Linked DNA regions of Cricetulus griseus. The protein of the gene in region 7 purifies or fractionates together with the protein of the main gene of each other region. This does not show direct contact. Links are inferred from orthologs where the notes say so. Each region holds a gene or a part of one and is shown on either strand. Other genes may lie near its edges.

What was found.
Region 1: the proteins of Akt1 (region 7) and Tubb purify together in Homo sapiens (affinity purification with mass spectrometry, with the first as the bait; 3 studies listed by BioGRID). This does not show direct contact. The link is inferred for Cricetulus griseus from reciprocal best matches to the Homo sapiens genes AKT1 and TUBB.
Region 2: the proteins of Akt1 (region 7) and Ilk purify together in Homo sapiens (affinity purification with western blotting; 3 studies listed by BioGRID). This does not show direct contact. The link is inferred for Cricetulus griseus from reciprocal best matches to the Homo sapiens genes AKT1 and ILK.
Region 3: the proteins of Akt1 (region 7) and Mapk8ip1 purify together in Homo sapiens (affinity purification with western blotting; 3 studies listed by BioGRID). This does not show direct contact. The link is inferred for Cricetulus griseus from reciprocal best matches to the Homo sapiens genes AKT1 and MAPK8IP1.
Region 4: the proteins of Akt1 (region 7) and Appl1 purify together in Homo sapiens (affinity purification with western blotting; 3 studies listed by BioGRID, with this or other methods). This does not show direct contact. The link is inferred for Cricetulus griseus from reciprocal best matches to the Homo sapiens genes AKT1 and APPL1.
Region 5: the proteins of Akt1 (region 7) and beta-arrestin-2 purify together in Homo sapiens (affinity purification with western blotting; 4 studies listed by BioGRID and IntAct, with this or other methods). This does not show direct contact. The link is inferred for Cricetulus griseus from reciprocal best matches to the Homo sapiens genes AKT1 and ARRB2.
Region 6: the proteins of Akt1 (region 7) and heat shock protein HSP 90-beta purify together in Homo sapiens (co-immunoprecipitation; 3 studies listed by BioGRID and IntAct, with this or other methods). This does not show direct contact. The link is inferred for Cricetulus griseus from reciprocal best matches to the Homo sapiens genes AKT1 and HSP90AB1.

Annotation. Positions count from the first base shown.
Region 1 is NW_023276806.1:229,740,453-229,745,294, reverse strand, and holds the start of Tubb (tubulin beta-5 chain), read left to right. Parts: upstream 1-1,697; 5' UTR 1,698-1,883; coding exon 1,884-1,940; intron 1,941-3,263; coding exon 3,264-3,372; intron 3,373-3,739; coding exon 3,740-3,850; intron 3,851-3,962; coding exon 3,963-4,842. UniProt on the Homo sapiens protein: Tubulin is the major constituent of microtubules, a cylinder consisting of laterally associated linear protofilaments composed of alpha- and beta-tubulin heterodimers.
Region 2 is NC_048596.1:93,963,359-93,968,184, reverse strand, and holds the start of Ilk (integrin-linked protein kinase), read left to right. Parts: upstream 1-1,603; 5' UTR 1,604-1,629; coding exon 1,630-1,718; intron 1,719-4,826. Other genes in the region: Rrp8 (ribosomal RNA-processing protein 8), read right to left, coding at 777-875. UniProt on the Homo sapiens protein: Scaffold protein which mediates protein-protein interactions during a range of cellular events including focal adhesion assembly, cell adhesion and cell migration.
Region 3 is NC_048599.1:84,351,311-84,355,091, forward strand, and holds part of Mapk8ip1 (C-Jun-amino-terminal kinase-interacting protein 1), read left to right. Parts: intron 1-403; coding exon 404-478; intron 479-731; coding exon 732-1,063; intron 1,064-2,406; coding exon 2,407-2,488; intron 2,489-2,676; coding exon 2,677-3,489; intron 3,490-3,647; coding exon 3,648-3,723; intron 3,724-3,781. UniProt on the Homo sapiens protein: The JNK-interacting protein (JIP) group of scaffold proteins selectively mediates JNK signaling by aggregating specific components of the MAPK cascade to form a functional JNK signaling module. Required for JNK activation in response to excitotoxic stress.
Region 4 is NW_023276807.1:192,715,089-192,720,025, forward strand, and holds the start of Appl1 (DCC-interacting protein 13-alpha), read left to right. Parts: upstream 1-1,760; coding exon 1,761-1,814; intron 1,815-4,937. UniProt on the Homo sapiens protein: Multifunctional adapter protein that binds to various membrane receptors, nuclear factors and signaling proteins to regulate many processes, such as cell proliferation, immune response, endosomal trafficking and cell metabolism.
Region 5 is NC_048600.1:84,234,489-84,237,973, reverse strand, and holds part of beta-arrestin-2, read right to left. Parts: intron 3,161-3,485; coding exon 3,130-3,160; intron 2,518-3,129; coding exon 2,457-2,517; intron 2,345-2,456; coding exon 2,300-2,344; intron 2,097-2,299; coding exon 1,900-2,096; intron 1,789-1,899; coding exon 1,729-1,788; intron 1,358-1,728; coding exon 1,290-1,357; intron 1,153-1,289; coding exon 1,014-1,152; intron 780-1,013; coding exon 695-779; intron 401-694; coding exon 328-400; intron 71-327; coding exon 1-70. UniProt on the Homo sapiens protein: Functions in regulating agonist-mediated G-protein coupled receptor (GPCR) signaling by mediating both receptor desensitization and resensitization processes.
Region 6 is NW_023276807.1:31,884,997-31,889,048, reverse strand, and holds the end of heat shock protein HSP 90-beta, read left to right. Parts: intron 1-192; coding exon 193-326; intron 327-408; coding exon 409-717; intron 718-1,044; coding exon 1,045-1,210; intron 1,211-1,365; coding exon 1,366-1,556; intron 1,557-1,648; coding exon 1,649-1,796; intron 1,797-1,913; coding exon 1,914-2,182; intron 2,183-2,490; coding exon 2,491-2,824; intron 2,825-2,931; coding exon 2,932-3,041; 3' UTR 3,042-3,287; downstream 3,288-4,052. Other genes in the region: Slc35b2 (adenosine 3'-phospho 5'-phosphosulfate transporter 1), read right to left, coding at 3,851-4,052. UniProt on the Homo sapiens protein: Molecular chaperone that promotes the maturation, structural maintenance and proper regulation of specific target proteins involved for instance in cell cycle control and signal transduction. Undergoes a functional cycle linked to its ATPase activity.
Region 7 is NC_048598.1:181,401,010-181,404,168, reverse strand, and holds the end of Akt1 (RAC-alpha serine/threonine-protein kinase), read right to left. Parts: coding exon 3,134-3,159; intron 2,034-3,133; coding exon 1,931-2,033; intron 1,599-1,930; coding exon 1,519-1,598; 3' UTR 700-1,518; downstream 1-699. UniProt on the Homo sapiens protein: AKT1 is one of 3 closely related serine/threonine-protein kinases (AKT1, AKT2 and AKT3) called the AKT kinase, and which regulate many processes including metabolism, proliferation, cell survival, growth and angiogenesis.

The DNA.
Region 1 (4,842 bases), on a different chromosome or scaffold from region 7:
AGCTGTGTATGGACTGAATGTCAGCAATGTCTTTGATACATTTTCTCTCTGACAAAGGGTCTCACTATGTACCTCTGGCTGGCCTAGACCAGGTTAGCAGTGAACTCATTGATCCTCCTGCCTGTCTGTCCACACCTCTCCTTCACGACCTGATACTGCTTACCACACCCCTTCCTTTGTTTTCTCTTTCTTGAGGAGGTATTTACTCATGTGTATTAGAATTTTGTCTGGATGTCTGTCTCTGCACTATCTGAGTGCCACATGCCTGCCGAGGGCGGAAGGGGGTGCCGGGCTCCCTGGAACAGGACTTACCCATAGTGGAAAGCCTTAAATAGTGATGGGAATCGAACCTGGCTCTTTTTCCGAGGACAAATGCTCTTAATTGCCGAGTCATCTCTCCAGCCCCGTGTGTGGTTTGTTTTCAAGACAGGCTCTCACTTTGTAGACCAGGTTAGCCTTCAGCGTACAAGAATCCTTCTGCCTCAACCATCCTACTGTGTGGGAGGTTGGACACAAACTAATTTTCCACTCATTTATTTATTATTTATTTATTCTGAAACTGGGTCTAAAGCTGTACCTCGGGCTGTACAGGAACTCTCTTAAGTAGCCCAATTGACCTTGTACTTCCTGAGATCTTCCTGCCTTGGAGTTACAAAGCAGGTGTTAACCGTGTGAACCACCCCTGCTGACTCTTAGAATCATTTTGTATCCCTCTTACACTTTCAGGATACTCAGTTTCTATCAAATGAAACCCTGGGAAAAGCTTCTGGGCTCTGACTCCCATTTCTCAGTTCCTGGACTCTGCCACAGCCTCCCGTAACGAATAGAACCAACCAACTGAAAACGACCACTTGGCTTCCTTCACCCAAGTGTCTTGAGAAGCATCCCATTTCATCGTCTGTATTGATAGGACGACCATGGTGTCTTCAGCGTGGTCCCAAAGGCCCAACCCCACCCCACCCCCGCCGCCGAGGTTTACAGCTTTCTCTCTCTCTCTGAACATCGGTCCCAAGCAACACTTCTAGTCTGAAAAATCCTTGCAATTTTGTTTCTCTCTCGAAACATCCTTGGGACAACTCCCTTAGGAGCCGGAGGGCCATCCTTTCTTCTGGAGGGATGCGAGGGAGTGCTGCTCACTGAAGTTACTGTCTTGGGACCACAAAGAACTAGATAGTAAGATCAGGGCAGGGTGCCACATTTCTCCGGACTTTCCGCTGAGCTATGCAGTCCGCCTTTACCAGAGCCACTGCGGTGGGCAGCTTGCAGGGCGCGCCCATCCCATCTCCAATTCAGGGCACCTCAGACATCCCAATTACCGTTAAGTCCCAAAACTTCTTAGAGCACAAAAACCTCTCTCAGGAACAGAGGATAGGAATCTCGTGCGAGGTCACTTTCCATTAAAAATAAATACAATCACACCCACACGAAAGGTACCCACTAAACCTCCCACAGTATCCACCCATGCCTAACTTCATATTGCAGCGTGGACAATAGAGAACTACAACTCCCAAAAAGGACTGCGCTCGCCACTGGCTCACAGACCAATGGTCGGCTGGCACGTGATCGGCGGATCTAATCAGCGGCAGGCTGGAGAGGCTTTGTCTGCGACCAGGGGCTCCCGCCTATCTCCCGCCCCCGGCTGCGCGAACGCGCGCCCCGCCCTGCGCGCCTTCCCTCCTGCGCTCGCCGGCCTCTTCTGCCTCTTAGAACCTTCCTGCGGTCGTGCTCGCATCTCTCTGCTGCAGCCTCCGGAGCCACGTTCCATCCCTTCAGCCTGAGACCAGCCAAAAAAAAAAAAAAAAAAAAAAAAAAGAACCAATTATCTTTTCTTGCTCGGTACCTACCTTGAAGCCAGCACAAATTTATTACAGTAAACCGTAGCCATGAGGGAAATCGTGCACATCCAGGCCGGCCAATGTGGCAACCAGATCGGTGCTAAGGTAAGAATTTTTAAATTGGTACCGGATACGCGTGAGGATGAGAAATCCAGGTTAATCATGATTAATGTTACCGGGTGTTAGCATTCTCCCTCCGCCGGCTTTGGCCCCTCAAAGTTCTGCGCGAACAATTATAACCCATATTTGTAGCTTGCGTTCTGAGAAATATTTATCTTGGCACATTTTCCGAAAGCCATTAAAAGAGACGCCTGGGTTTAGGGGACGGAGAGTCTGAGGAGGGACTGGAGTGCTTATCTAAAAGAGGGGATTTCTAACGGTTCGAGAACGGGAGAGGAGAGATGCGGAAACGATCCGAGACAAAGCCGAAGCGAGGTTTTCCCCTTGCGCCACCCCCACCCAGCCTGGAGGGCCTTAGCGGAGCAGGACTGGCGGGGGCAGGGGAGAGGTTGGGCGGGCAGCTGCAGAGGTCTCCGGGCCGCATCACCGCTCGACAAAGGCTTGGAGACCCTCGCGATCTCGCCATCCCCTGGCTCGCTTTTAGGTGGATGGTGATGATTCCGTGCGGGGGGCTCCTTTTACTTCATTGCCGTTAAGAAATCTTAGGGTGTGACCTGATGGGAAAGTGAGAGGTTTGTGTGTCTATAAGAGGTCCCTCGGGACTATGTGTGTGTTTGGGGGAAAGCTATTTAGGGAAGAGAAGGTAGCAAAAGCAAAAAAAAAAAAATCTGAGGCCATGGTTTTCTCTTTTTTTTTTGCGCGCAATTACAATGTAGCGGGGGATGGGTGGAGAGGAGGAAGTGCGGCCGCTAGATTGTAGCCGAAGGGTGGGACCCTTTGGGGGCGGGGCTAGCGCCCCTGGCGCGCAGGGACAATGCAGCCCTTGCTGGCGGGGGCGCGCTGGCCCCGCCCCTCGTGCCAGGCCCCGCCCACGCTGCTCCCGCCTTTGTGGGCTGCTGGAAGAGCGGCCCGCCACCGCAGTCACGTGGAACGCGTAAGGGGTGGGCGACTGCAGTGGCCGCACCTTCCTACCCCATCCCTCTTTTGTGCTGGCCTGGAGGGGCGGTGCCCACCCTGAAGCGCTTGGCTGGGTGCTGAGCCGAGGGGGCGGATGGCAGTTCAGTCAGCCCATATGGGTGCTTGCAACCCTCAGCCCCTTGAACTGTCCATCACTTGACCAGGGCCACAAAGGTGGCGACCTTCCCCGGTTGGAGGTTCGGTCGTGGAGGCTCGGCAGGCAGATAACGGAATTGCAGTATCAACCCGTCCGCCTCGTTTGAGCACGTCTAGAGTTGAAATGCGGGCGGGGAGGCATCCCTTAGGACTTCAGCCATTGAGGCCTGGCTCATTGCTCATTGCTCTGTCTAGTTCTGGGAGGTGATCAGCGATGAACACGGCATCGACCCCACCGGCACCTACCATGGAGACAGCGACCTGCAGCTGGACCGAATCTCTGTGTACTACAATGAAGCCACAGGTGAGGGAGGGAATCCAGCTTCTTTTTTCTCTGTTAACACTTATCCCTGGTCTTTTTAAACCCTGCGCCCTTCTGTTGAGACAGGGTCTCGTTATGCAGCCATGGCTGCCCTGGAACTTACCTCCCTAATGCTGCTTTTAAAGGCGGCCGCACCACGCCCTGTTTTCCCACGTTAAGTGCCTGTTAACCCGGTTGCTGGGGTCTCACCCTTTTCCATTAGACACCCACCATAAGTGGGCCAAAGATTAGCTCTGCTGCCGCCGGGTGGCAGTGCCTGGAATGGCAGTTTAGTGGTTTGTGGTATTTCCCACCCCAGATTTCATCCTCGCTGCAGAGGGCTCTGACAGTTCTACTTGAATCCCTGTAGGTGGCAAGTATGTCCCTCGGGCCATATTGGTGGATCTAGAACCCGGGACCATGGACTCCGTTCGATCAGGTCCTTTTGGCCAGATCTTCAGACCAGACAACTTTGTTTTCGGTGAGTTACATGGAATGAATTCCTTTGTACCCAAGGGCATGATTCCAGAGGTGAAAGGTGAAGATTAGTAATGATAATGACGTAATTTTTTTCCCTTCTCACCACATTCCAGGTCAGTCTGGGGCAGGCAACAACTGGGCTAAGGGTCACTACACGGAGGGAGCTGAGCTGGTTGACTCTGTCCTGGACGTGGTGCGGAAGGAGGCAGAGAGCTGTGACTGCCTGCAGGGCTTCCAGCTGACCCACTCGCTGGGTGGAGGTACCGGTTCTGGTATGGGCACCCTGCTCATCAGCAAGATCCGAGAAGAATATCCCGACCGAATCATGAATACCTTCAGTGTGGTACCCTCACCCAAAGTGTCTGACACCGTGGTGGAGCCCTACAATGCCACCCTGTCTGTCCATCAGCTGGTGGAGAACACCGACGAGACCTACTGCATCGACAACGAGGCCCTGTACGACATCTGCTTCCGCACTCTCAAGCTCACCACGCCGACCTATGGGGACCTCAACCACCTCGTCTCGGCCACCATGAGCGGGGTCACCACCTGCCTCCGCTTCCCAGGCCAGCTCAATGCCGACCTCCGCAAGTTGGCGGTCAACATGGTCCCCTTCCCACGTCTCCACTTCTTCATGCCTGGCTTTGCCCCTCTCACCAGCCGTGGGAGCCAGCAGTATCGGGCCCTCACTGTGCCTGAACTCACCCAGCAGGTCTTCGATGCCAAGAATATGATGGCAGCCTGTGACCCCCGCCACGGCCGATACCTCACCGTGGCTGCCGTCTTCCGTGGGCGGATGTCCATGAAGGAGGTGGACGAGCAGATGCTGAACGTGCAGAACAAGAACAGCAGCTACTTTGTAGAGTGGATCCCCAACAACGTCAAGACCGCCGTCTGCGACATCCCACCACGCGGCCTCAAGATGGCCGTCACCTTCATTGGCAACAGCACGGCCATCCAGGAGCTCTTCAAGCGCATCTCCGAGCAGTTCAC
Region 2 (4,826 bases), on a different chromosome or scaffold from region 7:
GGAATACAGATTAAAAGAACACCCTGGGCTGACTAAAAGTCAGGAATACCCAAAGGAGATACAATAGTTCTCACATTCGATGAAACTCAAAGGAAAAGAAAGACCTGTTTTCTGTGAAGCTGACTTGTGGTTCAAGTCCTGCTGCTGATCCTCGGCCAGGCATTTACCTCGGAAATTCTGGGTTCCCCATACCTTTTTTAAAATAGTGATCCTGATAACCATCCCTGCCACCTGCTTTGACTGTGTCCAATATACTTTCTACAGTGCAACTAAGAACCTTTCCAAGCTGGGGGTGCAGCTCAGTAGTGAATGCTTGCTTACCAAGCCCTGGAACTGATCTCCAGTATAAAGTCATGCCTGGTGATAGAAAATGTGGCGAAACCACTCCATTGCTAAAGCAACTCCATTGACTTCTACCCTTAGCGTACGAAAACTTACTTTTCAAACCTTTCATTTACTCTGTACTCCACCCTCCGAACCTCGCATTCCTATCTTGATACACTCTAACTCGGTGTGTTTAACCCCTGGGCTTCTCCAGGTTTTTCTCCATCTCAGGTACGCTCTCTCCTCTGTACCAACTTCTCACCAACTGTATTTTAAGGTCAGTTTTTTTTTTTTTTGGGGGGGGGGGAGTTTCCGGATCTTCAGATAAGGACTAACTCCCTCCATCCCGATCCACGACAGCACTGCAGGCTCTCGGTCTCCCCAACACGCACAAGGGCGGCTCGGGAGGGTCGGCTTCGCCACCTCAAACAGCCCAGTCCCCGGCCGCTCACCTTGACTGGCGGAGCAGTCGCTGGCCGATTCTGTGTTGTCGCTGGACGGAGGCCCACGGCTGCTGGGGCCGCCTCGACCCATTCGGGCTCCTCGAACATGCCAGTGGAGGGCAGGGTCGCCGGAGCCCACGCCACGGCCACGTGCAAAGCCCGTCAGGGTATCGTAGCGTTGGACCCTAACCAAATCCAGCCGGAAGCCACAGAGTGAAAGCCTGTGGTGGCTAGAGCGGCCGGCGCGGAGCAGAGCACCATCGAGTGCAGCTGCCGGGAGCTAGAGAGGCAGTAGGAGGTCGGAAGGGAGGGACGGTGGCCCGCTCTGGCCCAAGAGGGCCGGGCGGGGCGGGGCGGGGCGGGGCCGGGCGGCGGGCGCGGCCGGACGGGAGTTCCCCGGAGAAGGCGCCTGCGGCCCGAGTCCCGGTGAGTGCGGGTGTCTCTGCGCCCTGCCCCACATTGGCCCTGCAAACCCATCTCTGCGATCTCTGCAGCAGTTACGAGCTGGGAGCCGGGGCCGCCCGGGAAGGTCCTCTGTCTCCTCCTCCGGGTGTTTGCAGCTTGTTCTCCCCCCCGTCCGTCCCCCCCCAGCCGTGCTCGCGGGTCGGGACTCGGTGCCCACAGACACCGGCTCAGGAGATTAGCAAAGTCCCTCCTATACCGCCACACCCTGCCTGTCCCTCGCGCCCAGTGGTCGTCTCGCTGCCCGAAGTCCTTCACAGACGACCACTGTCACTCTCGCAACGCCTAGCCCCCCATCCCAGAGCAGACAACTCTGTTCTGCAGAGAACAGAGCAGAGCTCATCCTCTTGTCTCTGCTTTCCCGCAGTCCCCCAAGGCTTCTCCTGTCCGGGACGCCGCTATGGACGACATTTTCACTCAGTGCCGGGAGGGCAACGCGGTGGCGGTGCGCTTGTGGCTGGACAACACAGAGAACGACCTCAATCAGGGGTGAGCTGAAGCGCTGGAGAGTGAGAGAAGGGCTGTCAGTCTACTCTCCGCTACGTGGGGTGCTCATGTCGGGCGGGGGCAGCTGATTTTGCCATCTAGTGTGAAGAGTATAGTAAGCACAGACTGTTGGAGGGGTATCTACATTGAGGAAGCTGTGTCTGAACTGAATTTATTAACTAAGCTTCACATTCAGAGGTTCCGGGTTGCTTTGCAGCCTCTGTGAACTCATGTCAATGGCAGGCCAGAGTGTCAGGCAATTGCCTGGAATTACATGTGGTTGGAGAATAGGTTTCTGTGCCCTGGAGCATTGGATAGAAGTGAAAAAGGACAGATGTCTGTAAGCAAAGTTCTGAAGCTGTGTGGTGATGAGACTGTCCATTTGTCTAATGTCATCCTGGAAGTTGCCTTGAAGTGATGTTTTGGACTAGAATTCGGACAGTTGAAAAACTAGAAGTGGTGAGATTCTCCCAGAGTCATAAGGATGAAGTAATTGACTTGACATGGGAACTGAGGGTAGTCAAAGATGGCCTGGGGTTTGTGAGGTTTGGGCACTTGGATACTTGGAAGTTGCTGATGTTCTGTCTGGACTGATACAGTTATGGTGGCACTACAGCAACTGGGAAATATTGGGCAGGTTGTTGGTTGTGTAGATTTGAATTTCAGGAGAAGTCTGACTTGGAGACCAAGATACCACAAATATCATTTAAATGGTATCTGAAGATTCTATAGTGTGAAAAATAGTACCTCAAAAGAGCAAGAAATTAAAGCAGAGGATTAGAAGCCTATCCAACTGACAGGTATCAACCTTCTGAAGGAGAAATAGGAAAATGGATTAAGATTAAAGAATGTTTTAATGAGCTGGTCACTTGTAGCATAGGCTTCTGAGAAGTTAAAGAACATGAATGAGTATCTTATGTTCTTCAGTTAACTTATATTTAGGTCATATTTGATCTTGTAAATGAAACTGCAGAAAATTAACAGGAACCTGCTTTATACTGGGTTCCTTCAAATAAGGAACACCACCTATAGTGGGTACTAGAGTCCTTAAATCAGACATAATCAATGCCCTCGAGATGGCAGGCTTCTGGAAAGGAGAAAAGTGAATGAGAAGCGAGGAAACGGAGAAAATATGAACACTTTCTAAAATGCTGGCTGATACAGGAAAGAAAGAAAAGTGTTGTTGGGAAAGTTTAGTAGGTGGTTTTGGTTTGCTTTTGGAGATAGGGTGTCATGTAGTTCAGAGTGGCCTCCATCCTACTGCCTCAGCGTCCTGAGTGCTGGGTTTTCAGTTTGCTGTCACCATGTGTGACTAGAAGAGTGTACTTTTTTAGGTTGTAAAGGATCATCTGTCATCTTAGGCCAGGTTTCACCAGTTCCCTTTAGGCTGTGTTATTTCTCTGTAATATTCAGTTTCATTTTTCACATGATTCGTAAGCTCTGGTACACACTGAGACATGTTTTGTTGGTAAGGAAATAGAAGTTTAGGCTGTTGTCCCCAGTGGGAGTGACATTTTGGAAGATTCCTTGCTGTCAAAAGGTGAAAGGGCATCATTAGGGAAACCAGAAAGATTTGGTGGCTTAAGGGGACAGGGTGTGTTGTTGGTGGTGGTTAATATCCTACAGGCTTTCTTGAGATAGAAATCTAGGCCCTGGGGTGACAGTGAGCAAAACTCAGTGCATTTATTTTTGTTCTCAAGCTTGGGCTTACACTGAGGCCAAGACTGCCGGAGGCTGTTAGGTCAGAACACATGAGAAGTCTGGGAGACAAGACTGATAGCAAGGGATATACTCACATCCTGGGAAAGGTTTTGCTGATTGTGTTAGCAGATGAGGGCTAACTGGAGGAACAATTTTTTTAAAGCTACATACCTCCTTCAGCTGTTGAGGGATTCTGGGTGACCAAGTCTGGATCAGCTCAAGGCCCCTCCTCCAGCCCCCTTACAGGAAATGACCACAGCACTAAGGCATCCGGAGGCTGCAAGCCTAAGCCACAGACCGCCCCGTCCCGCCCCTTAGATCTGCATCCCTGGACTGGAGGGAATTTCCTTTTATGGCTCCAGGCTGTCAGTTTGACCCAGCCCACCCAATTGTTTTGTTTGTACACTTCTCTTTATAAAATATATGTTCTTAGAGAATGAAAATACTAATCAGATATAGTTTTCATCTTAAAGCTTCTATATATGTTTTCTTTTGTGTGTTCTGGGTTGATAAGTAGGAAAATCCTGTTTTGTGTTATTATCTGCCTCATCAGTAATCAAAAGCATGTTTTTTTTTGTCATTATATCCCTCCAAAACATTTTAATTCCATTCCATTTTTAGATGTTAGTTTCAATACCAGAGCCAAATAGTAAGCTTGTTCCCTCTCCTAAGTTATGGCCTCCTTCTCCAATATGCCCCTCTCCCATTAACTTGCATAGAAAGAACATCAGCTGTCAGACTCTGTCCTCAAGCATATGATCTAACAGGCAAGACAGCTGACATCAACAGATTCTTTTCTTTTTTTTTTTTTTTTTTGGTTTTTCAAGATAGGGTTTCTCTGTGTAGCTTTGGAGCCTATCCTGGCACTCGCTCTGTAGATCAGGCTGGCCTTGAACTCACAGGAGATCCACCTGCCTCTGCCTCCCGAGTGCTGGGATTAAAGGCGTGCGCCACCAACGCCCAGCTACCTCAATAGATTCTTACAATCTAGTCAGTGTACATCTACAATAAGGAGAGGCACAAGAAGCAGTGGAAACAGAATTAAAGGTGTGGCTAAAAATGTATGAGCTGAAGATACAGCTTAGTGGTATACATAGCATATGCCAAGTATGTACAAGGCCCTGGGTTTGACTCCTAGTACTGTCAATCAAGGAGCAGCAGACGCCAAAGAACCCAGAAGAGTGCTATCACCTAATGAAGAACTGCTAGGGAAGAGGATCTAGGAGATGGTCATTAAAGTAATAAACCTTACAGTTGTTGGGACATCTGAGTGACTGGGTGTGAAGCTCAAGGGAAAATCTGAATTGAACTTTGTGAATTGCTGACATGAGTAAAAATTAAGTACTAGAGAGGCAAGCCTTCTCAGTGAATATAGAATTCTCCCATCAAAGCTTTTGTCCCTCCCAACCT
Region 3 (3,781 bases), on a different chromosome or scaffold from region 7:
CCTCCACCTCTACCCTGGTAGTGCTACGCTAACTAGGGAGAGCTCCCTGGTGGGAGCCTAGTCAAAGTCTCAGCTGCTTTCAGGCACACTTTGCGGTGTCTCCTCTCTGGTAACTTGGAGGACTGCTGTATAAGACCAGCCTGAGGGATGAAGAGTCAGGGGATCTGTCCAAGGTGCCAGGAGTTAGTGGCAGGGTTGGGTGAGGGAAGTGTTCAGGTTAGAACGAACTGGGAAGAGCTACTCCTCAGGGTCCCCCTTCCGATCCAATTAGGGCCTCCAGTTCCCACTGCAGTCTTCCTCACCCGACTGACACGCACCTTCCCCAATTTGCTACAAAGGCCCTTTCAAAAGCCAGTTGTCTCACCCATCCCTATTGGGGCTGGAATTCCTGGGCGACCCCTAGGTCTCCATAGCAACAGCGGTGATTTCACTCTGGGCTCGGCTTACCACCCGGGTGAGGTCACTGGCCGTTGCCAAGGTAACGGGAGGGTGCAGAGAGTCCGGAGGGGAGACCGTGGGAGCGGAGAGGCGTGGGCGGTACCTTCTGGCCTGGGGACGCGGCCTCGCTGAGGGGCGGGCGAGAGCGGCCCAGTGCTCGGGCCTCTGCTCGGCTCTCTGTCTCCCTCCCCGCGCGGCCGCAGAATGGACTCGTCCGGCGGGGAGGCGGGGCACACCAGCATCAGACCCGCCCCTCCCGCGAGACCCCTCCCCCGCTCACAAGTCCCTCCCCTGACGCCCCTCCGTCCGCGCCGCGCAGCCCCCGCGCACCGGGCTGCTGTCTGCGGGTGGCAGCGGCAACGCGGGGAGCCGGCTGCAGGCGGAGATGCTGCAGATGGACCTGATCGACGCGGCAGGAGACACTCCCGGAGCCGAAGACGACGACGAGGAGGAGGACGACGAGCTCGCTGCCCAACGGCAGGGAGTGGGGCCTCCCAAAGCCGAATCGGGCCAAGAACCGGTGCCTCGCAGCCAAGGCCAGGGCCCGGGCACGGGCAGCGGAGACACCTACCGGCCCAAGCGGCCTACCACGCTCAACCTCTTCCCGCAGGTGCCGCGGTCTCAGGTGAGGCAGAGCTGAGGGGGCGGCGCCCTGGGTGGACAGGGAAGATGGAGGGGCGTGGGCCCTGCTGGTGGGGGTCTAGAACCTTGGCACGGGTGCCTGGAAAGGTTCTAGGTTTTCTGCTGGTAGGACCAGAGGAAGGGTTTGACGGCGGGCAGCAGAGTCTGTTCTGGCAAGGGATGAGTCCAGTTGGCTGCTTATGGAGCCTGGGAAGAGTCGAAAGGGTTGCCAAGGATTCAAGTGGGGAAGAGTCGCAGGGGACTAACAAAGGAGTTGGGTTCCTACATTTGTGACAAGGTCCTCTTTGGGTTAGGGGGCTTCTGTGAAGGTTGAGGCAGCAGCAGGGCCTGGAGAAAAGAGCATCTGAAATGGGATGAAGACGGGAATGGGAATTCAGGGTCTGCAGCCAGCTGGACATCTCAGCAGCTGGACATTCCAGAAAGCCATAGAGATGGGGGATGGAGTTGTTTGACTGAGCTGGGGACCTAGGGCCCCTGGCAGGTGGCTGGATGCCAAAGAGGACTGCCTTGACCCATTGTCTTGTAGGCCTAGGCACGAGAGGTACTGGGAGAGGAGGAGCTGGGGAGGTGGAGTTGCTGGTGTATAGTTGAGGAGCTGCAGAGAAGAGCTTGGTCCCTTTCCCAGTATCCTCTGGCATGGTTTCTGGCCGCTCAACTCATAAATGTGTGTGTTGCTTATGGTGTTCGCTGGAAAGGGAGCCTAAGTTGTGTGTGGAGAGCCCTGTGCATGGGCACTGTGCAGGGGTCCCAGGGGGCTCAGAATGTGGGATGCATGAGCATTCTGGGAGATCCAGGAAGGAGGGCTGCTGACAGTACATCTGTCATTCCTTAGTCACGTGGGGTGAAGTGGGGGTGAGTGTTATGGAGTCATAGTTTGAATGATTCATCCGGGCCCACAGGCCAGCTTATCGGGATACCCTTCCTTGTGCCAGAATGCCCCTACCACCCCAGATTTCTGAGTCAGTCACCCTGTCCTTTACCATGTCTGGGTTTGAGCATCAGAACATGTCCTCCCTCAGTGTCTGTGCTGCTGTCTGACTCTCCTGGGGGCTGTGCTTCTCCCTCCACATCCACTAATCAGCACCCACACTGGCCAGCACCACCATTGCATCTCATGACAGCTGTCTCCAAGCCAGCAGGCCTCTGGGGAGGGTGGTAATTTCCCACCCTGCCTGCCGGCTAGAGGAAGGTTGGCAGAGAGGCCTTTGGCAAGGCCAGATGGGGTGGGAACAGCACAGGGATGGCCTGATGCGGGCAGGCCCAGGGCCTCCCTGTGCCGGGCACTGCTGACCACTTCTTCATAAGAGCCTTTTGTTCTCTGCACAGGACACGCTGAATAATAATTCTTTAGGCAAAAAGCACAGTTGGCAGGACCGCGTGTCTCGATCATCCTCCCCTCTGAAGACAGGTAAGTGAGACCTTTCTCTCCCTGAGCTGGAGACCCAGTAGTCTTCACCTGGCCCACCACCTGGGCTGAGGTCATCAGGGAACCAGTAACTGGCTACAGAGCCTGCTGATAGAGCACAATGGGGAAGAGGAGGGGACAGGTATATGAAGTCGGGTCCAGCTCTCAGTACCAACTTGCCTGTCTTCTAGGGGAGCAGACACCTCCACATGAACACATCTGCCTGAGTGATGAACTACCACCCCAGAGCAGTCCTGTCCCCACCAAGGACCGAGGCACCTCTACTGATAGCCCTTGTCGCCGCAGCGCTGCTACTCAGATGGCACCTCCAAGTGGTCAACCTGCCACTGCACCTGGTGGCCGGGGCCACTCCCATCGAGACCGAATCCACTACCAGGCAGATGTGCGGCTGGAGGCAACTGAGGAGATCTACCTGACCCCGGTGCAGAGGCCGCCAGATCCTGCAGGGCCCACCTCCACCTTCTTGCCACCCACTGAGAGCCGGATGTCAGTTAGCTCTGATCCAGACCCCGCTGTGTACTCCACAACTGCAGGGCGGCCACATCCCTCCATCAGTGAAGAGGATGAGGGCTTCGACTGTCTGTCATCCCCAGAGCGAGCTGAGCCACCAGGTGGAGGGTGGCGGGGAAGCCTCGGGGAGCCACCGCCGCCTCCACGGGCATCACTGAGCTCGGACACCAGCGCTCTGTCCTACGACTCGGTCAAGTACACGTTGGTGGTGGATGAGCATGCCCAGCTTGAGCTGGTGAGCCTGCGGCCATGCTTCGGAGACTACAGTGACGAAAGCGACTCTGCCACTGTTTATGACAACTGTGCCTCTGCCTCCTCACCCTATGAGTCAGCCATTGGTGAGGAGTATGAGGAGGCCCCTCAGCCCCGGCCTCCCACCTGCCTCTCAGAGGACTCCACCCCAGATGAGCCTGATGTCCACTTCTCTAAGAAGTTCCTGAACGTCTTCATGAGTGGCCGCTCTCGCTCCTCCAGTGAGTCAGTGAGCAGGGAATGGTGGGGGGGAGCCTGGCCAGGGAGAGCTGAGATGGAATGGGGCCTCAGATATCACGTAGTCTGTCCGAGAGCAGGACAGAGCTTCCTAGTTGTCCCGAGCTGAGGTCACCTCCTCCAGCCTATTGACTTCCTACAGGTGCTGAGTCCTTCGGGCTATTCTCCTGTGTCATCAATGGGGAGGAGCATGAGCAGACCCATCGGGCTATATTCAGGTGAGGGCTGCCCCTTCCTTGCTGTACTGGCCCACCACTGGCATCCCCTCAGCTGCTG
Region 4 (4,937 bases), on a different chromosome or scaffold from region 7:
GCATTTTTTCCCTTTTACAAATTACAGTTTAAGCAAGAAGGTCACTTACTGAAAGTTTTCTTTGTCATCTTTCCCCTCCACCATTTCTCTGTTTCTCTGGCATAGGGTTTCACTATAGAGTCCTGGCTGGCCTGGGACTCATAGCTAGACAAAGGCTTTCAACTTGCAAGGATCCTTGGGCCTCTTCTTCCTGAATGTTGGGTGACAGATATGTGTCACCACACCCTGCTTGAAAGCTTTGCTCCTCTATAGCCAGTTGTATCCTGCTTGTGCTGGCCTAGTAAAAAGAAGTAGTAAGAATAAGATACCCATAATACAAGTTGAAACCTTTCATGCAATGTAAGTAAGAACTGGCTCCAAGCCACCTTTCTTCAAAAGCCAAGGGTCTCTTCAACAGGGTGACTAGTTGGTAGAGAATCCAAGGGGTGAGTTCTCATAAAAGGACTGTAACACTAAAGACAATTCTGTGACACTATAATACAAGTCTGTCATAAAACTTCTGAAACAAGTTTTAATCTTTCAAGAGATCATGGGGGAAATCTAGTAGCTTTAATTTCAAACATGCAACTTCATGCTCGTTATGACCATATACGGACTTGCTCTACGGTGTTTGGATTTGGTTCAGTTGAAGTAGCAGGAGAATAAGGAAGCTAATGCTCTTCTCTCGGTGACCGTACTTTTGTGAATGACAGTGGAAGAGACTGATGGGGTTAATGGGTAGATTGTTTTGGGGGAAATATTAGTGATTTTGCCACTTTCTCTGTATACTGATAAATACTTTGATTAACGCCACCGATAAATAAAGCAGTGTGAAGCTGGAGAAAAGGATGCAACAAGGCTGAAACAGAAAAAAGAACAGCGTTCCAGCCCTTACATGCCCAATCTCCAACAGTGTGAACGGCACTCTACAGTCAAGGAGAACCGGGAAGCTATTTAAGTCTCTTCCAAAACCTTTTGGTGAAACAGAAATGCTGACGGAGATACGTTCTCCAGCAACTGTGTCTTTTTAATTTTTATTTAAAAAGACGTTTTCCTTTGTGATATATAGGAGATACGATGGCCATAATTTTAGCACATCAAACTTTAAGGCCAGGTAAGAATTAATGATTTGTTAACGCAAGGGTTTTAAACTGAGTGTATGTATTGATAACCAGGTGTGTGTCCAGAAAAAAACGATCTGGGGGTCTACTACCTACAAATTAACTGTAAACCCAATGACACAAGTTTGGATTTCAGAGGTTTGTGAGTTAGCACCACTTTTGCAGGAGTTAAGACTGAAAACTCGAGCAGGGTTGGAAAGGTTATGGGGCCAGGGGTAGGGATTTTTCCAAGGTTGCTGACGAAATATGGTGCAGACATAAAACTGCCTCAAGTTCCCCTCGAGCGCTTTTCACCCCAAGCTCAGGCTAACCGCGCGCGGGCTTGACAGACAGCCCCTTACACTCTCAAGTACGGGAAGATCGGCGCTCACAGGCAGTGCGGTCTGCGCGGGTCGCACCTCTGAGGAGGGCGAGCGGTCGCGAAGGAATCTCCCCGGTCGGCCCCGCGCGTTGACGGGCGTCGCAGCGAGCCAATGGGCGTGCGGGAGGCGGGACTGACAGGCCCGGGAGGGCGGGATTTCCCGCGCGGTGGCCTCTGAGCGCCTGACTGGGGCGGCGGCGTCTGCGAGAGGGCGGGCCGGGTCAGCTGCTGCAGGCGGGGCGCCGCGCCGAGCTGTGGGCGGCTGCTGAGTGTCCTGCCGCCGCCCAGCCTTCGCCACGATGCCGGGGATCGACAAGCTGCCCATTGAAGAGACGCTGGAAGACAGTCCGCAGGTAAGGTGCCGGCGGTGGCCGAGGACAGCGCGCGGCCTAGCGCGGGCCTGGCGCCTCAGGTGCCCGCGCGCGGCCCAGGTGGGCGCCGCCGCCCGGGGTCGCTGCCTGCGGGGACCGCGCCCTACACTCCCGGGCCGGGCTGGAGGCCCGCGCGGCTGGGCCGCGGATGGAGCGGCCTTCGCTGTCTCCGATGGGGCCTGGCTCTTGAATCCGCGCCGGGTCTCCCTTGCATTTCACGGGAGGTGCTGTTTTTATCGGGATGGTACGATGTGGCGAGATAAGTCCTGGTCGTGGCGTTTTCCGAGGAGGCCTGGCACGCAGGGACCGCAGTGGCTAGTTTTCTTCGGAAGGGGCTGCGAGGCCGTGTGTGCAACGCCGGTGGACGCAGCGGTGTGCGTCTTGCTCCCCGCGGTGTGTCGGTGTCCGAGGCTGTCACTTGAGCTGTGCCCTGCGGGTGACGGAAGGCGCCTGGGCTGCAGAGCCTTGGGTTGCAGACTTGGCCCGAATAAAGTCATCAAAATAAAAGCCCTGTTAATGTGCGTTGGGGATGATGCTAATATGGTTGCTCTAGCTGAAGACAGTCTGGGAAAATAAAACAAATTTCCTTTTCAGTACGGAATGAAATCTGTTGTATTTTAAAAGGTGGTCTCTAACTTGCGTCAACTTCATCCTTTTGCCAGCTTTCGTATATAGTAAGGAATATAGAACAGTGTTGCTGGTGGATTTCTTAAATAATACTTGCTGAGAAATATATATTTTATATGCATTTATAGTGGAGTGTGCCCCCCTCCCCCACAAAAAAAGAAAGAAAAGGGCTAGAGCTTGCTTTGCTGGATGACACTTTTGCCATAGATTTTGTGCCGGTTTTGATTTTCCAAGTTGAAACTGGGCTCTGATTGTAGAATTGATTTATTCTTCTCTCATTCTGAAAGCTGTCTTCATAGGCCAGTTGCTCAGACGTAATATCCCCTGTCAGGCAGTATGAGAAAGAGACACCCACATTTTGGGTTATCTCACAGCTGGTTTAAATTTTGCTTAATGACTTTCTCAGTGTAAAGTCTTAAGTTATATTTATTTCAGATGATTTGCAGCAATTTCGTGGTTGTATTGGTCAGCATAATTTTATCTTTTTACAATTAAGACCCAATACACTGTCTGAACTTCTTTTACCCAGTGTACTTTTTATAGCCCATAAAGACTATAAAGAGAATGGTTTGCACAGTGCCCTATCGGTGACTTTCGATGTAGTGGTTATCTTGAATTTTCCATGTAATTAGTTTACAACTTGAGTCAGGCTTATTCTGTAGCCCAGGCTGGCCTCAAACATGGGCTCCTCCTGTCTCTAACTGGTGGTTGCAAGCTTGAACCACAAGTACTTTCAGTTGTTGTTGTTTTTAATTTAAAATTTGTTTTTATATATATGGGTGTTCTGGCTGCATGTGTTTGTGTACCACTTGTATGCTTGCTGTCAGTAGAGGGTATTGGGTCCCCTGGAACTGGAATTACTAATGTTTGAGAGCCACTGCGTGGGTGCTGGAAATTGAACCTGGATTGTCTAGAAGAGCAGTAAAAGTGCTAACCACTGAGCCATTTCTCCAGCCCCTGTTTTTTAATTTAAAACAATGATTTTTTTGGGGACTGGAGACTGGACCCAGGACCTTGCACTTGGTAGGCAAATGCTGTACCACTAAGATAAATCCTCAATTTTGCTTTTATTTTTTGTGTGTATATGTGTTGTAATGTATGTGTTTGCATGTCTGTGTATGTGTGCTCATGTGAACGGAGGCCAAAAATTGATTTATCTTCCTTGATTGCTTACCATCCAGGATCTTTCTCTGAACCCTGGGTTTGTTAATTCAGGTAGTCTAGGAAGCCAGCTTGCCCCAGGTATCCTGTCTCTGTCTTTTAAGTGTTGAGAGTACATGTGACCGCTGCACATGCCCAGTTTTTCCATGGGTTCTGGGGAATCTGGACTCAGGTCCTCAAGCTTGCAGGGTAAGGGCTTTATCTACTGAGCCATCTTCCCAGCCCTATTGTATGTGATTATGTGTGTGCTGCTGCTCTTGTATATGCATGCATGTAGAGGCTAGAGGACAGCCTCAGGTGTTGTTCCTTCTCAGCTTCTACCTAGCTTGTTGTTTTTGAGATAGTGTCTACCCTAGAGATCTAGGTCTCTGATGGGATCATGTAGGCTAGGCTGGCTGGGCAGCAAGCCCTAAGGATCTGCTTGTCTACGCCTTCCCAGCACTACGATTACATGTACCTGCCACCATACCCACCTTTTTTACCTGGGTGCTTGATAGCTAAAATGTCTTCACAATATTCTCAATTAAAAATTTCAAGCCTGCATATTTCCTTAGGTGGTTTAACAGACATATTTTAAAATGTTTTTATTAGCATATATTAATAACATAACAATGAATTTTATTATGACATTCCATTTTTATTGTATTTGCCCATTACCTCTATTGTTTCCCTTTCTCTTCCTAACTAGATCTCTTACTTGTGTCTTTTAAAAATATTTTTGTTTTGTTTTGAGAGGAAACTCTTGTGTTGCTAGGTGGAGAGTTCCCTCTGCCTCAGTTTGCAGAATAGTTGGGACTATAGCAGGTGTACCATATCCAGCTCCCATTGTTGTACTTTTAGAGTTTCTCCGAAGTTCTGCTTTTGTAAATAGGGCTGAGCTTAATGCTTTTGGGACCATTCTACAGATGTGGAGGGGTTTTTTATTGGGGGAAGTGAACTGAAGGGGAGAGGGGAGACTGGCTTCTGGGGACAGGAGTGGCAGAAGAGAAGAGACAGGTAGAGAGAGAGAAAGATGGGAGGTGGGCAGGTCCCTTTTAGAAGGGAATGTAGTGAATGTACAGGTGGTGCTCTTTTTTAAAATTTTTTATATATTTGAATTACAAGCAAGATTGAATTACATGATGATCCCAGTTTCCTTCTCCCTCCCTTCCTCCTCTACACCCCCCCCCTCGCCACCCCAGGTGGTACTCCTAGTGGCTGCTGAGTGCAGGCCAATACAGATGCCTGAATACTAACAATAGCTTCTCCAGCCCCAACAAATGTCCTATTAGTTGCTTAGTAGAAAAGTTAGAGCTTGGGACTCATGGAAAAACCTTA
Region 5 (3,485 bases), on a different chromosome or scaffold from region 7:
CCGGTTGTCACTGAGCAGTGGGGTTATGGTGTACACCTTGCAGAACGTGGAACTGGGAGATACCTGGTCACTGGGGGTTGGGAACAAGGGAACAAGATTCTTGGAGAGACTGGACTGAGGGAGATTCATCATACCACCCTCAGGCGGTACTTCCTCCTTCTCTGTCCATCAGGGCAGATTACGAGGGGGTAGGTTCTGATGCAATCTGCTAACAGCCTGGAGCCCCCAGGCTGCAGAGGGACACCCTTAGAAGTGAGATAGGTTATAAGGAACTCTGCATTCTCATATTCTCCCCTAAGTTGGGTCCCACGGTTGTCCCATACTCACTCTTGCTCAAGCTGAGCCACAGGACACTTGTACTGCGCGGTGCTGAAGAGGCAAATGTCGGCATACTGTCTCACTGTGGGGTAGGGGACCAAGTGGCTTTGGGTGAAGTATAGACTACTACTGTACCACAACTCCAGACCACATGGTGTGAACCCCACTTGGGGGCAGCACACCCCCACCTCCTACCCCTGGCCAACAGCCCTCCTATAATAAACACTAGGGCTGGGCATCATCTGGGAACAGACTAAATTCTTTATGCCCTGGTAGTTCTCCCACACTGGGATATGGCCTGGGCTGAAATGGCAGCAGAAGCCCCTTGTAATCAGGGACTTCCTTCCCCACACCCATGTCCACCCCCACCTCCTACCAGAGACTCTAATCTTCTTGACGGTCTTGGCCGAGTTGTTGGTGACATGGACGTTGACATTGAGTGGCTCCCCGTGGTAATACAGCTTTTGAAGGGAGGGGATGACACAGTTTGCACTTGCTTCAGTGGCTCCAACTTGGGTACCTCTCTGATAGAGGCTGCTCTGCCCCACCTCCAACCCCAGTCCATAGCACCTCCACCCAAGTGAGGCAACCACCTTTAAAAAAAAAATCCCAAACCACCATCCTGCCTGTCGCTTCACCCCTCCCCCAGGCTCTGGCCTGCTTTGTGGCATCTCTGTCACTCTTTTACACCTCACCTCTTTGTCCAGGGAAGCCTCTAGGTGCAGGGACCTCCGGTCAGACATGAGGAAGTGGCGTGTGGTTTCTGCTGAGGGCTGGGGGCCAGGTATCTCTGGAGCAAACTGTACCTTTCTGATGATAAGTCGCACCGAGTTCCTGAGTCAGGGGGTGGAGCAGGGGAAGGGTTAGTTCCAAGACACTACAATTCAACTAAGATTCCTACCCCCAACAGGCGCCAGGGGCTCCATAAGGCTGGGAGGGAGTTGTTAAACCAGAGACAAAGTTTCTCTCACCTTTTGTGGCTTTTTTCTTCTAGAGATTTGGCACAGAAGGCACGAATCTCAAAGTCGACTCCACAGGCCTTGGAAGGGGGAGGAAAGGCCACCTCTTACCCAAGGCTCCTGTTGCCACTTCCAACACACCCCTTCCTTCCTACTTGCTTCATTCCCCTTAAGTGTGAACTTTTGCCCCATCTCGGAAACACGGACTCTCTTGCCCCACTGTCTCCTAGTCTGGCACCTTACAGAGGCTGGCTCATGGCAGTGCATGGAGGAACCCCCATACCCAGGTACATGTTCCAGATGCAGTGACCACACCATGCACACCCATGTCCATGGGGACACCTCCTTGTCTTCAGGACCCCCCTAAACTTCACCCTCTGGTTCAGTTGTGTTTTGTGCTTCTGCTGAGCCCAGTTCTGTTCACACACTGTGATAGCTGTCCCTCCCTTACCTTCCCTGTGTCCTCTGGTCCTGGCTGCAGTGTGACAGAGCAAGGCAAATTCTGGGGTAACTGTGGCAGAGAAAAGGAGGGGTTTCAGTCCCTGGTAACAGGTGCCTCATCCCATGTCAATCCTGCAGCCCCCCCCCCCCCCACTCCTCGGAGAAAAGGGAGCATCCTCACTGTGAAAAAAAAGGGATGGGCATGCTGGCCCAACTTCTTCAGCAGTCGGTCCTGTAGCCGGGTGGGGGGCCGGGGTGGGTTGGGCATGGGGGGAAAGGCTTGGTAGGTGGCAATGAACAGATCTTTGCGGAAAGACAGGCCCAGTACATCCAGGTCTTCTCGGCCATAGCGGAAGGCGCAGGTGAGGGTAACAAACACTGGAAAGCGAGGGCAAGGTGGGATGATCAAGAGACATCCTTCATGTCGCCCACATCCTTCCTCAGCACGACAGACTTCCCTGAATCCTACCCCCTGCTTCTGCCTCAGCCTTCCATCTGTCTGGGACACCCTACCAATGCCAACCCATCGAATTCCTTCTTCTTCCTGCCTCCCCTCCAGCTCCTGGACTTGGGTCTAGTACCTTTGCGGTCCTTCAAGTAGTCAGGATCCACGAGCACCACGCCATCTAGGAAAGGGAGACGTGGATTCATTTTCTGAAGGCGGCCTTTCCCCATCCCCAGAACCAGGAACCTCCTCCCTCCTGGGGGGATGAGCTACCCCCTTCTAGGCAAACTCACCCACAGGATCCACTTTGTCCAGGTGGTCTACAAAGTCGCGCTTGCCCAAGTACACGGTGAGCTGAGGATGTCAAGGGTCACAGGCAAAATTGGGGAGGATGGTGGCAAGCCACCAGAGCCCTCAAAGATGGCGGCCCTGTCCTGGGCTCCCCTTGGCTGGGTTATCAGGAAGGAGTTTCTCCCAGTGTTATTGGAAGGTGAGAGTGGTAGGGCTTTCCAGACTATTCAGTAAAGCTTTCATTTAGGCTTTTGTCTGCTCCTCTGGTCACTTTTCATACCGCTGTCCACCAAGCAAGGACAGAGGTGTATGTGTGTATATGTGTGTGTTCCCATGTCTTCAGGGAGCACTCAGTCAGACCAGGCAGTTAGCAGCTCTCCCCACAAAGGGCTCTGCAATAAACAGGCCACAGCCTGGGGAACTATTAACTTTTCCTAGTCCCAAGTACCCTGGGTTGGTTCCTAAGAGAATTACAAGCTTGCTTAGGAACCTAGCCTGGTCCCCACCCAGCCCTGTGGCTTCTTCAGACTGTGGCAAGGGGCTTAAGGAGGGAAGGAAGTCTGCTTTTAGCTGTCACAGGAAGTGGGGAGCTAAGGGTTGGGGATCAGCTGGGGGTAGGTTGGGCTTTGATAGGGCCCAGGAAGGATCGAAGCATAAGCACTGTGGGTGACTCACCTTGCAGTTAGGGCTCGACTTCTTGAAGACCCTAACAAAACAGAAAGGGAGACCCCACTGCCTCCCTTAGACTCAGCAGGGACCACCACACCAGGACTTATCCCTCCCTAGCCCAAGAAGTGGAATTCACCCTGGATCCCTGGTCTACCCTTCCCACTTTTTTTTTTTTTTAACAAAGTCCCAGTATTTTCCACATGGCAGCCCCTTGAAGCCAACTGTCAGGGCAAACACTTGCTCCTTTGATTTGATCCACCTCTACAGTAATGGCCACTGGTTGCTCCAGGAACCATCTAGACTCTCCCGAGGGCACCGTCCCCAGAAGAAGATGGGAACTAGATGGCTATCCAATGTCTGGG
Region 6 (4,052 bases), on a different chromosome or scaffold from region 7:
TTTTCTTCATTGTGGTTTTTTGAGACAGGGTTTTTCCTGTGGCTTTGGAGGCTGTCCTGGAACTAGCTCTTGTAGACCAGGCTGGTCTTGAACTCAGAGATCCTCCTGCCAGGATTAAAGGCGTGCACCACCCCACCGCCCAGCTTAGTTGTAGTTTTCTATGTCTTGATTCTATCATTCACTTTTTTATAGGTGAGCCCATTGGCCGGGGTACCAAAGTCATCCTTCATCTCAAAGAAGACCAGACAGAGTACTTAGAGGAGAGGAGGGTCAAGGAAGTGGTGAAGAAACACTCGCAGTTCATAGGCTATCCCATCACCCTCTATGTGAGTATGGACTTGGCAGTATTTGAGCAGTCTTTGCTGGTGATAAGTTCTCCACAACTCATTATCCAATTTGGTAATTTAGTTGGAGAAGGAACGAGAGAAGGAGATCAGTGATGATGAGGCAGAAGAAGAGAAGGGTGAGAAAGAGGAAGAAGATAAGGATGATGAGGAAAAGCCAAAGATTGAAGATGTGGGATCAGATGAGGAAGATGACAGTGGCAAAGATAAGAAAAAGAAAACAAAGAAGATTAAGGAAAAATACATTGATCAGGAAGAGTTGAATAAGACTAAGCCCATTTGGACCAGAAACCCTGATGACATCACTCAAGAAGAATATGGTGAATTCTATAAGAGCCTCACCAATGATTGGGAGGACCACTTGGCAGTCAAGGTGAGAAACCTTACATGGTATGTTAATTGGAGGGGTACATAGAATGTGCTGGAGGTGGTACCAAGCAGCTTGTTCAACTGGACATCATGACTGTCTCTGGGAACTACTCAGGCCTTGCTTGGCAGTGGTTTAATTCACTTTTTTACCTTCTGGTGGTGGCCATGACTGCCATGGAGGGATACTTTTTGCTACTAGTATTCTAGGTTTACTTAGTATTTGAGCTAGTTTCTCATCGTAGGGTTTTTGGGGTGTGGCATTTCAGTGATAGATCTCTGATACTGGGACTTGAGGTGATGTTGTCCTGAAATGTACTACTGGGTTTTTCAGCACTTCTCTGTAGAGGGTCAGTTGGAATTCAGAGCATTGCTCTTCATTCCTCGGCGAGCTCCCTTTGACCTTTTTGAGAACAAGAAGAAGAAGAACAATATCAAACTGTACGTCCGTCGTGTGTTCATCATGGACAGCTGTGATGAGCTGATCCCCGAGTACCTCAGTGAGTATACCTTCAGCATACAGCTGAGACTATCTTTAACCCAGATAATTACAGTCCTTGGCTTCCCAAACCTTCACTTGGCTGGGTGACTTAAATCTGATAACCAGACCAGGTCTGACCCACCTCACCTGTTCCTTGGCTCTGGTTGATTGTAGACTTTATCCGTGGCGTGGTGGACTCTGAGGACCTGCCCCTGAACATCTCTCGAGAAATGCTCCAACAGAGCAAGATCCTGAAAGTTATCCGTAAAAACATTGTGAAGAAGTGCCTTGAGCTCTTCTCTGAGCTGGCTGAAGACAAAGAGAACTATAAGAAATTCTACGAGGCCTTCTCCAAGAACTTAAAGGTATAGTGAGCAAGTGATTTTTCTTCTGATGACTTTGTGTTGAAAGTATTTTTTTCAGCTCATATTTGGACTTTTCTTTCCTACCCTTAAAGCTTGGAATCCATGAAGATTCCACTAACCGTCGGCGTCTCTCTGAGCTGCTGCGCTATCATACCTCTCAGTCTGGAGATGAGATGACTTCCCTGTCAGAATATGTGTCCCGCATGAAGGAGACACAGAAGTCCATCTATTACATCACTGGTATGTTGGAGGGAGCTTGGGTCTGAGCACAAAGCTGCCTTGAAGGTGTGGGATTGGGGAAGACAGGACATGTTGCAGTTATAAAGGCCTTTGGTCACTGAGTCTTTAATCCTATAGGTGAGAGCAAAGAGCAGGTAGCCAACTCTGCCTTTGTGGAGCGTGTGCGGAAGCGAGGCTTTGAAGTGGTGTACATGACTGAGCCTATTGATGAGTACTGCGTGCAACAGCTCAAGGAGTTTGATGGAAAGAGTCTGGTCTCAGTGACTAAGGAAGGCCTGGAGCTGCCAGAAGATGAGGAAGAGAAGAAGAAAATGGAGGAGAGCAAGGCAAAATTTGAGAATCTCTGCAAGCTCATGAAGGAGATCTTGGATAAGAAGGTTGAGAAGGTAAGTTTGTTGGAAGTTTGTCCTCTAGAAATGTTATGCTGTTGTACAGTTAGTGTGGGGCCCTTCCCCCAGCAATACTGTATCTGTTGGTGAAGTAAGAACTTTTTTTCATATAACAGTGATTACACCATCTAAATCATACATGCAAGAAAAGGCCTTGTTGTGTGTTTCCCTGACCCTAACCCAGCATCCAGAGTAGCAGCTGAAGTTTTGTCATTCCACAAAGAACTTTTTATGTGGCTCCACATGGAGTGTGTGTCAGGACAGCCAAGGCTACATCTTGTGACTGACCATTTGGTTGTCCACAGGTGACCATCTCCAATAGGCTAGTGTCTTCACCCTGCTGCATTGTGACAAGCACCTATGGCTGGACAGCCAACATGGAGCGGATCATGAAGGCCCAGGCACTCAGAGACAACTCTACCATGGGCTACATGATGGCCAAAAAGCACCTAGAGATCAACCCTGACCACCCCATCGTGGAGACTCTGAGGCAGAAGGCTGAGGCAGATAAAAACGACAAAGCTGTCAAGGATCTGGTGGTGCTGCTGTTTGAGACTGCTCTGCTCTCCTCTGGTTTCTCACTTGAGGATCCCCAAACCCACTCCAACCGCATCTACCGCATGATCAAACTAGGCCTGGGTGAGTCAGCCTTGTGAGCCACATAGGTGGCAAGTTGTTGGACTGGCTGGATCCCCGCACAGACTTAGTACTACCATTTTGCTCAAGATTTATTTTTCTTTTTCTAGGTATCGATGAAGATGAGGTGACAGCAGAGGAGCCCAGTGCTGCTGTTCCTGATGAGATCCCCCCACTCGAGGGTGATGAGGATGCCTCCCGCATGGAAGAAGTAGATTAGAGATCCCCTGGGAAGACCATGTCCTCTGTATAGTTTCCCTGAGCCCCACCCCCCATGCCTTGGCTGGCCCCAACCTACCTGGCTCTCTGTTCAAGCTAGAGGATCTCTTTATCCTGTCCTTGTGCCTTAAGGCAGGAAAGTCCCCTCCCACAGAATAGCAGGGTTGGGTATTGTGTATTGTGGTTTTGTTTGTTTTATTTTGTTCTGAAATTAAAAGTATGTGAAAATAAAGAAAATGCAGTTTCATATAGTACTATTCTCCTTGTAAAGTACCACTCAGGATGGGAGGTAGTTCCCCTTTCAACCAACCAACACACGGCCAAGTCACTGCTGCAGTTTTAATCAAATAAGAGCAAAAGGTGACATTCCCAAGTAGCAAAACTTGAGCAAGGAACACAAAGGCCCCAAAGGGGCTGGGCAGGGCTTTGTTTGGCACAGCACCATTTTCACTAGTGTGCCCCCCTACCCCCCAACCACATTAGGACCTGTAAACTTTGTGCTGCTCTTGACCAGCTATGTCTGGCAGTCTTGCGGGTTGGGTGTTAAAGGAAAAACAAGCAAAGGCTAGGTGCTGGTTTACAGTTCTACCAGCTAAACCAAGGTCTCAGGTTGTGGGGAGGAGCTCTATCTGGATTATCTCCATAACTCAGACCCACAACTACCAAGTAAGTAGGTGGGGCTCTTAAGGCAAAAGAGGCTGCCTCCAGGGCTCCAATCCTCTGCTGTACACTGAGATGTTGAAAATAATTTTGCCCTTGAGTCAGCGCCTCTGATAAGCTACAGAAAACCAGAGTGAGGGTCCTTAGTCCTCATACCTTCTGCACTGGGGGCTCAGTTGGTACAACCTTCTTTCCCCGCTGCTTACGGCCCCGGGCATAGACTCTGAGTAGGAGGGCAGTGAAGACCACAGCCACTCCCAGTCCCCCCACCACAGTGACAGTGTGGCCATAGAGGAGGCAGGAGAGAAGGATGGCAATAGCCTGGCGGAGAGTCATGATGATGGTGAAGACA
Region 7 (3,159 bases):
GTCTGTCTTCTATGGATCCCTAGTAACTTGAAGTACAGTATGCAGTGCTGTGTGTGCCTTCAGAAAGGCTCTAGAAGTCACCCAGAGGATAGTGTCTTCCAGAGGTCAAGGCCATCATCAAGTCCTATGGTTGCAAGAGTCAGACACCATCCCAGTGAGGCCACCAGCCACTGGGCTCTCTGTACATGTGCAGTCCTCCATACCAGCAGGGAGCCCAGCACCTGGGGGCCTCTAATAATTGTTTTGCTGGGCAATTGTTCATCTCTTGCTGCAGTTCTACAAGTAGCCACCAGGTGGCACCAACAGCATACCCAGTGTATCGGGAGGCTGCTGGGATTTGACACTCTAGCATGACCTTGGCTCCTGTCACCTCCAACCAAACCCAGAATGGTCCTCAGTTCCGTTCAGTCGCAGAAGTGCTATATGACTCAACCAGGGCCTCCTGAGTCCTTTCTGGACTGCACCCCATTATGCTGTTATCCTTCCTGGTATCCAGGTCCAGCTTACTGCTCTGCCTAGACACAGCAAAGAGGGCTGGCAAGTGGCACGCTTTGGGGAAAGTCAAGGGAAGACAGACAGGATTCCCCACTTGTCATTAGGAGGTACACCGGAGCCTCAGGTGACCCTAGCCACATCCCTTCACCTCCAAACCCAACAGACAGGCTCCACACTCCACACCATCCAGCAAAGCAAACCACAAACTTGAAAAGCAATTTTTATTGAATTTGGAGGGACAGTTTCTTATTATAATAGTAAAAATGCTGAAGTTGACTGTTGTAAAAAACGACATGGTGCAGCAATGGCCACAGTGTCTGGCCAGGAGGGGACAGGCCAGGGGGACAGCTGGAGAAGGAAAGCATCTAAAGGACAAGTGCTAAGAGAAGAGCTCATGAGGCAGACACTCTCAGTGCTCCCAAGAGCTGCCACACAGGGGGGAGGCAGGGGCTCTTCTGTCACCGAGATTGAAATCCCCTAAAACGTCTTTGAACAGTGTGATAGGCAGCAACACACTGCATCACTGTTCCTGTCAACCTAGGTGAGCCCCAGCCAGCCCACCCCAGAGGGAGGGAGAGAGCCAGCCAGCATACAACAGGGAGGTGTTTCTGGTGCCCTCCGGTTGGACGGTGGCCCTGGACCCTAAAGACAGGTGGCAGCCAGGGTAGCCAGGTCGATGGAACAGTGACAGGACCCACCTAGACCCATGAGCCCACATTGCACATGGTCTCAGAAGTCCTTAATATTTTTCTACACGAATCTAATTGTTCTGGGCACTGAGGCCACATGTGCCCTCAAATTGGATGAAATAAATTAAGAAAAACCCCAGGATAATTTTCCTCCTGACCTGGCTGGGAGGTAGGCTGCTGCCCACAGTAGAAACATTCTCCCCTGGTCCTGGAGGCTGGCAAGGTTCCTCCCCAGCGCTTCCAAGAAACAAAACCATCAGATACAGATGATCCATGCGGGGCTTCTGGACTCGCAATGCAAAGGAGTGATAGCTGCCAGCTGCTGCCCCAGGCCTCAGGCTGTCCCACTGGCTGAGTAGGAAAACTGGGGGAAGTGTGGCCTCCTCTCGCTGTCTACACACTCCATGCTGTCATCTGTGGGGACAAGAGATGGCTCAGACCCGGACTGCAGGAACAGCCCTCCCACCTGCCACATAACGGAGGACATACGGAGGTCTGACACGTGGGCACAGTGACCCTGGCCCTCAGAGTGCTCCCTCCCAGCCAGTTCTACCACCCTCCAACGGAGTATATTGGGGGCTGGAGAGAAGTCTTAGTGGTTAAGAGCACTGGCTGCTCTGACAGAACCCAAGTTCAATTCTAGCACTCATGTGGCATCTCACAACAACCTGTAACTCTACCACCCCACCCCCAAACTGGAGTCTATAAAGCTTGACACAGGCACCTCAGAGCAGGGAGGCCCTCACCTTGATCAGGCGGTGTGATAGTGATCATCTGGGCTGTGAATTCCTCATCGAAATACCTGGTGTCAGTCTCAGAGGTGACCTGGGGCTTGAAAGGTGGGCTCAGCTGTGGAGGAACAGTAGAGGACTGGTTACAACTCCGTTCCAAATTCCAATTCACAGCGTTCCAGCCCCTCTCCATCTCCAGGCAATACTGACTTCCTGAGGGGCGAGCCACTAACACAAGGGCTCAGCTCTAGGTGGAAGTAGGTGGGCACTGTAGACAAGGAAAACGGCACCCAGGGCAGCCCCAAGGGGCAGAAGGTAGTGACTGTGCCCATCTCTTGGCAGCAGGATCCTATCTCCTTTTTTCTGCTTGTCACTTTCTTTGCAAGTTTTCTTATAAATGGGGAAGGAGACCAGACTTCTGGTGAGCTCACCTGCCTCACTGACATACCAGGGAGAAGAGGCAAACTGGAAAGTGATGCATATATAGAGGTTGCTAACATCCCCTTAGGTCCCACAGGCAAGGCTCCTCAAATACCATCCCCCCAAAATCTGGTGTGATTTTGTCACATGTCACATGTCAACTCAAGGGACCTCTAGTCTGGTATGGGCAGGTATGCCATCTACACCCCCATATGATCAGAGGGCAGGGCTCCAGCTGCTCGCATGTGACCTAGAAGGGATCGTTCAAGGTAGGGGCAGGCTTGGTGACAGGGCACCCAACACACAGTGTGGATACCTCATCAGCCTGGCCCAAGGCTGCTCAGGAGCCGAAGGGCACCCCAACAGATGTAAGCACAAGGGGCTCTGCTCTTTGCCAGTGGCCTCCACTATGCCAGAAAGACAGGTACTGTCCAAGAGAATGGGATGGGGCTCCTTTGGAGCTAGAGGTACCTAAACATTACTCTCAGCTAGCTTTTAACACGTGAGGAGACCTCCAGGGATAGTCAGGAGCGAGGGCGTAGGTGTAGTCAACACAGGGGCACAATCAAGGGCCTGGGCAGGCCCAGTGACTGGGTGAGGTGCACAGGGCAGCATAACACCCTATCCTGTGTGAGTAAGGAGGGCATGTGTGTCCGTCCCTGCAGCTCTGTGGTGGCATATGATCACCACAGAGCTGTGGCCCATCACGGGCATCTGCACCAGTGAAAACTGAAGAGTGTTTGTATGTGTGCGCGTGCACACGTGATCCAGAGATGGGCACAGCAGCCAGGTGCACACCTTCTTCTCATACACATCCTGCCACA